Linked DNA regions of Mus musculus. The protein of the gene in region 2 purifies or fractionates together with the protein of the main gene of each other region. This does not show direct contact. Links are inferred from orthologs where the notes say so. Each region holds a gene or a part of one and is shown on either strand. Other genes may lie near its edges.

Region 1 (3,657 bases), on a different chromosome or scaffold from region 2:
ATAGCATCTACAATGAAGTAACACAAAAGACCCTTAGGTAATTTCACATAGGGAAAACAAACTGCTATTAGACCAGCATTTCGAGCCCAGCAGGAATGTAAATTCTAGTGTATAATGCCGATTTCGAGTTAATTACTACTTGCATTTCTAAACGAGACTACAATTATAAATCCACAATAGCATGGTTTTATCATTTCCCTGCAACTTTGACTACAAATTACAGATAGGGACCGTGTGCCCACTCTGCACCACGCAGCCCTGCATGGTCTGCCCTGTAGCTGTAAGATCCTGCTAAATGGATGCTTTTATCGTTCAGAGCTAACATCTGCTAAATCACACCATTGTTTCTTCGGCAGATGGCTTGTCAGGAGGCCAGATAATAAAGATGTGTTTACACTGTATCTTCAGCCAGACTAATGGTCTGATACCGATACGGCCTGTTTGCTATGTCGATACTAATTAGCCAAGCAGAGCCAATGAAAGCTTTCCAAAAGACTGCATACTAATACATTAGATTCATTAAGCTTCATTAGGAAGGTACAAACAAACAGTTTAGAATATGGAATAAGTGCACTTTTATAATGTTTCTTCTCAATTATTATACAGACAAAATGTTTTGACCACTTTACAAAAACTAATTTTAAAAAGCAGACTAATTTGTGTTAGAAAGACTTCCTAGGAAAAATGTCAACATTCAAATCAAAAAAAGCTCCCATTCCGTCTCTTCTGAAAATAAAAGAGAGGAAATGTAAGGACCAAGTTCTGGTACCAGGCTAAGAGGACCAAGAACTAGCAACAGGAAGACTGCATAGCAAGTGCAATTAATTAGATTATTAGGGTTAGCAATTTTCCAACGAGGAAATTAGAGCATGTAAATCATCCATGTAATCAAATTCGCTTTTCAACTAAAATATCCATCTTGTTACTGTTACTAAAGGTTAAGGCAAAACTCGGCAGTTCAGGTCCATATCTATCAGGTTGTGTTTGCAGGTTTTAGGTTCAGCCTTCAGATCTTTTTAAGCAAAAACAAAGCCATTAGTGCAGGCACATAAGCAAACTGTGCCATAAGTCATGATCTTCAAACTCAGTCCAAACAGCAATGCTAATAAAAACTAGCTGCAGAAATGCAAAAGGCACTGAGCTGTGCAAAAGTAAATGACAAGCCTGCCTATCCATTAAAACTAATGGCCTGCACTGCCCATGCAGTCGCTGCTCGGATTCACATGCAAATTTGTATGCAAAGTGTTCAAGCACTTTGTAGAGCATGATAGCCATTAATATCAATTCACGTGTGAATCCAGGGTAAGGACTGGCATCGCAGAGTTCCCCCATGTCCTGGGGCTTACCTTGGAGTCTGCTGTGCTTTCCCAGTACTTTTACAAGGGCTACGTACTTGGCAGTGTCAAGAATAGCCGAAGCATCTAAGCGGTCACTATAAAATAAGCCAGAGTTATGGGAGTCAATTAACTATAAAAACGACAGTCATAGTCAATTGATCACTTTCCAAAAACTAACCAAACAGTCTGCATTGCGATACCCGCCTTGACACATAACGTGTCTGAAACCATGTATCAATTCGAAGTTATTTACAGTCATGAATGCATAAGGAGGACTGCAGAAGCACACACTGCCTGGCTGCACAGGAAGATACTGAAGACACACTTTGTCTTTACAGGTCTTTTCATGTTCTAGCCTTCACTGTGACCACCCAAATACCTACACTTACTTATCTCCATGTTAGAATCTGGTAGTAAAGAAACGCAAGCTGCCTGGAGGTAGACAGGACTGTGTGCAGCACTACAGGGCAAGGGAACGGACGGGCCGCAGCTCACTGGAAGCCGCTGCCGCATGCCGTGGCTTGGGAACTAGAATGTTCTACTAAACTGAAAAGGCCCTGCAGGAAGTATGACATCAGTAACCAAGGAGCCCTTCCAGCATGGGACTTAAACAAACACTGAAAACAAAAGAACTTTTACAAGAATGTAAGAGCAATCTTCAATCCATTCAGTGCATCAGGGCACTTTATACATCTGCTGGTTTATTCCAGTTGCAAGGCACTTACACTTCTTGTTTCAAGTTCCACGCATCTTCTGCATTATCATGTCGACAGCACAAATTTATTAATGCTGCATAGCCACCAATAACCATGTCTGACTCATATTTTGCTTTCACCTCAAGGGCCTTTTGCATATTCTACAATAAAAGGATTTAGTGAAAAGAGAGAAAAAAAAGGTAAAATACCATGATTTTTTTGTTGTGTTGTTCAGAGTTTTAAAAAAGTTGACAGTATTTTGAAAAAAAAAAAATGGTTTCATACTCTTATTTCTGCCCCTAAGGGTGTGCATGTGCAAGCCAGTTTTTATATATATATGCAGGGCTTAAAAGATTTCTTATCTGTAATTTAAAATTAGACTATTACACTATTTTCCAAGTCTTCTCTAGCAGTCTAATTTCCAGAGGTAGAAATCTACAGAACTGAAAAGCCCCTCAGATAGTTCAGAATACAAGCAATGTGACGAAACCTGGTTGGGATGTAACAGGGCCATGACGTCATCTCAAAGTGTAGTCACAGTACACTTCTCCCCTAAACATTCACAGGCATGTGAACAATCCTATTCAAGCAGAAACTCCCAAGTGTAGTGATACAGAACAAACTGCAGACACACTAACACGAACACAAGGGGCAGCTGCAGGCCTGCTGGAGAAGGCAAGGGACCCTTTATCTCAGAAAGCTTTTTCCTAGCAGGAAATGGAATTTCAATCCCTGCATTAACAAGCGTGTTGTATTTGACTTGCAAATGACTCCAGCATGGATCAGTTGCTTGACAATCTGGATATGAGAGACCGGAGCCATGGCTTGAAAGGACACTTGGCATGTATGATAAACCTATCACGCTGTTACTATCATTCACTTTGCAGATTATCATAAACAAAACTACAGCAACCTGAAAACATGTCATTCAAGGTGTCGCTGAAATTAGTTAGCCTTTCATTTAATTGAACCGTTCTCAAGCATGACACATAATAATAAAGTGTAAAATTCATAAACATTATACTTGGTTTGACTTACTGTGGTCTATAGAGTGTCTCACCCCGAAAGCACGCGAAAGCACGCACGCGTGAAAAGGAAAGGACTGTCAGGGTTACCTCCTCTGAGCAGAGCAGCAGCAGGAGCTGCTTCAGGGCAGATCCTACAGGTTGGCCTTCAGCTTTGAGTTTCTCAAGTGTTGATTCCAAATCAGATGAGGTAACTTGAGAAGTCTACATGGGAAGAACAAAAGTTTACTACGGAAAGGAAATACAGCCCTTATCACTCAGCCCTGGGAGTGCCTTGCTTCTCTCTCTGTCATAAATGCCCCAAGGGATATTAAATATTAATCTCAGGTCTGCAGAGGGGGGGAGTTCACAACTCTCTCCTAGATCATCCTAGATGTTCATGTTCTTCTGGGATGGCGAATAGATTTACCATCTCAGAGACAGACAAGATCCCTTGCAGGGACACTATTTAGAATTCTCATTAGAAGCAGTGAAAAAAAAAAAAAACCAACAAAGTCAGATACTACTTACTTTTTGAGAATCTACCTTCTCTCTGTCAACCAGAACCTTAATATCCTAAAATTGGGAATCAAATTAGTACAGAATTAGAAAAAATAGGGG
Region 2 (3,353 bases):
ATCATGTCACATCACCGTGGTGCAGAGAACTGATGGAGGGGCAAGCAAAGAGTCAAAGAGGCTGACTAGGAGCCACTGTTGGAGTTCAGGCAAGCAGTGAGGATGGGTGGAACTTGGCATCTGCCAAGAAGAGATGCCCTTTCAGGGTTAAGCATGAGGACCTGAATGCCAGAAAGTATTCATTGCCACTCTTAGATTTTGTTACAGCCTGGCTATACTTTTGACAGTCATGGCCAGTATGAGTTTGTGCAAGAGCCAAGAGTTGTGTGAAGATGATAAAAGTTTATTCGGCCGTAAAGAGAGATGAAACTTGCAGGTTAATGGAGAATACTAATCAAGGCAGCCCAGAGACATAAATACCATTCGTTCTCTCTCACGTGTGGATCCTAGCTTCCAACAGTCACGTATGTATATTCATGTGGAAGTGAGCGTGAGCAGAGGCCAGAAAACTAGCAAAGGCCTCCAGGGGGCGGAAAACAGGCTTTAAAGGGATGGAAAGGGTAGGGAACACATGTGAAAATGGGAAGGGAGCGAGTGCGGGGGGGGGGGGGGAGGGAGGGAGTAGAGGGTCCAGGGCTGGGGCGATGGGAGCTGAGGGAGTCATGAGAATAAACCAGAACTAAGTATGTATAAAAATGCCCTAAGGACCCCAGTGCACACATACATGCACAGGAGTGAGGAGGAGGCAGCAGGGTGGGTGTGGGTGACAAGGCCCTGAGAGGACACTGGTGAGTGAGGGCTATCAGCTGTGACAGGATGAGTGTCAATCGGGCAACGTGGAGGAGAGTGTAGGAGAGGAGGGGACAGAAGCAGATGGCAGACAGAGGTGGTGAGCTGACCAGCAGTTATCATATTCTTCTGAGAAGTTTGAACTCAACTAAAGGGTGTAACAAGGAAGTGATGTCTCGTTTTTCTCTAAATTTCTTTCTCTTTTAAAAAATCTGTTTACTGTTTATTGGATATAATACTCTTAATGATGACATTTTTCTACTGAACTTGGAGGCTGTGTTTACCTGTAGATTCCCCCATATGAGAAATGCGAACAAAAATAACAGCATGTATCATACAAACGTGAAAACATGAGCTAACCAAAGCGCTATCAATGGACAAAGCCATTCATTGAGATGTAACATTAATCAAAGCGGGGCTAAGCAGCCTGTGGCCAGGCGGGCCAGTGTTTAAAGATGAGAAGTTACATCCTAGCAAGAGGTTCTCCACAGCAGGTGGGGAAGGAAGGACAGTACAGGACAAAGAGGCAAGAATCAGGTGTCCAGGACCTGCTGAAGGTGACAGGCAGGCTCCCAGGGGAGGACTGCCCCAGGTGGAAGGCAGACATAACCTACTGAGCCCAGATGGAAGGCCTGCCACCCGGGTGCTGGCATAATACAAAGATGGGAGAATGCTAGTTGTTCCTGGTCTCAGTGGAGTTTGTGGCTAGGGTAGAAAATGAACAAGAAGAAAGGGTGCAGAGGTTAGAGAAAGCACGGGCCGGGAACAATGACATAATTCAAGCCTGTACCGAGATCCATTCGTACAAATGCATGTGTTGGGGGTGACAGGTGGATGTTAGTGTGGGAAGACAAAGGCAGGACCATGAGCAGGGTGGGAGCTGAAGGACGGGGAGTGCCGAGGGAGGGAGGAGGTGGGGGACCTGAGGGTGGTGGCATGAAAGGAAGGGTCATACAGTATGCATATTTCCTGGGTCCTACTTCTTGTCCTGTGGCCCAGGGCTGTGCACCTTTCTTAGAATCTTTCTCCAAATTTAACAAATATGAGAAGTAGTGTTTCTTTAACCCTCCCCGCCATGTCCAGTGTCTACTGGGATTCTAAGTGACCTATATGCCAATGTGAGTGTCTGTGGGAACTGCCTGTTCCTGTGTGCGCAGAGGAGCACTGTGGGGAGGGAGCGGGTGGCATGCCACAGAGGAACACATGTCAGGAAAAAGACTAGGGAAAGGGAGTGTAGTGCCACGTCCCAGAGCACAAAGACCTTGCCAGCGAGGAAAGGAACTCTCTCAGCCTCTTTACCTATGTGCTGCCTCGTGGAGGAAGACGAGAGAGGCAGACAGTGGACCTGAGCAGTGGTCACGGGGCTGGAGGCTGTGGTTGCCGGGGTGCGGAAGGCTGCCTGGATCACTTCAATGGCCTCTGTGTAGCCCATCTGTTGCAGGGCCTCCATCAGCTCTTTGATGGTACCCCCAGAGACCTGGTAGGAAAAGGGAGAGTATGTTCGTGTGTTCCAGCCTGTTTGCAGGCTGTTAGCGTCCCTTCTCTGTGTCTGCTCCAGAGAGCTGGGGGGTTTGGAGAGGGCAGGGAAGGAACCTGAAGAAACACAGTGCTTAGGTTCTAGTTCCCATCTTGGATCAAATCCATTCAGAAAAATCACAGGAGAGGTGAAGGAGAGAATAAGGGAGATGGAGAAGGGGAGGATAAGGGAGATGGAGAAGATGAAGGAGATGGAGAAGATGAGGGAGAAGGGGGAGAGAGATAAAGAAAAAAGAGGGGAAGGAAGGGAAAGAAGCCTGTGAGTTCATGGAGACAGGAGACAGGAGACTGCCTACGGTGATGTCTACGCACAGAAATCCAGGGAAGACAGCAGCTAGCAATGACAGCCTCATTCGGAGTAGCTCGCCCATGTTTGTCTATTTTTTAGTTTGGAATTGCTCTAATAGGAGTCACCCGACAGAACAATGAAGCCATGGCCCTGGGGGGCTCCCTCTTGCAAACAGGGATGCACACACCGATCACAGCTTGGAGGGGTCCCCATCCTGTGGGCAGTAGTATTTTCACAGGAAGGCTCTGAGAATTTGAAAACAGGGAATGCCGAGAGACGGGTAACCAGTCTTCTCAAGAAAAAGGCGCCATCCTGGCCTGGCTCCCTTTGCCTTCCAGGCAATGACTGGTTTCCTTCCATAAAGTTACTATGTAAGGGGGTAGGCTGTGCTGCTCAGTGGAGCTGACACGGTCAACTACCAATAGTTACACAGACAACTCTAAATGGTACGGCGGCGCGTTACCTCATAGTTGTCCATGAGAGTTTTAGAAGGAGCAGGACTCAGCCGGAAGGCATTGTTCAGTATCCCCAGACCCAACTTCTGTGCCAGAGTGGCCCAGTTTTTGTCTGGATCAGGAATTTCCAGCAGTTTGCAGAGTTGTAGCCTCGTGTCTTCTGTCAGCTGCTTCATGTCCCCTAAGGAAGAAACATGACTGCTTTAACCTTCCAGGGACAATCAATCTGAGAGGACAGGTCATTGTCCAACTTCTGATGGAGGCCACCAAGCTTCTGCCAAGTCCAGAGGCCCTGCTCAGCAGCAGCAGTAGGTGCTTCTAGCAGCTCAGGGCCACACCTCCAG

Evidence for each region. The genes of interacting proteins can lie anywhere in the genome.
Region 1: the proteins of Nfkb1 (region 2) and Lrpprc purify together in Homo sapiens (affinity purification with mass spectrometry; 3 studies listed by BioGRID and IntAct, with this or other methods). This does not show direct contact. The link is inferred for Mus musculus from reciprocal best matches to the Homo sapiens genes NFKB1 and LRPPRC.

The regions. Positions count from the first base shown.
Region 1 is NC_000083.6:84,749,162-84,752,818, forward strand, and holds part of Lrpprc (leucine-rich PPR motif-containing protein, mitochondrial precursor), read right to left. Parts: intron 3,613-3,657; coding exon 3,568-3,612; exon of another isoform or gene 3,564-3,567; intron 3,262-3,563; coding exon 3,148-3,261; intron 2,194-3,147; coding exon 2,063-2,193; intron 1,433-2,062; coding exon 1,347-1,432; intron 8-1,346; coding exon 1-7. UniProt on the Homo sapiens protein: May play a role in RNA metabolism in both nuclei and mitochondria. In the nucleus binds to HNRPA1-associated poly(A) mRNAs and is part of nmRNP complexes at late stages of mRNA maturation which are possibly associated with nuclear mRNA export.
Region 2 is NC_000069.6:135,587,299-135,590,651, forward strand, and holds part of Nfkb1 (nuclear factor NF-kappa-B p105 subunit), read right to left. Parts: intron 3,191-3,353; coding exon 3,018-3,190; intron 2,207-3,017; coding exon 2,029-2,206; intron 1-2,028.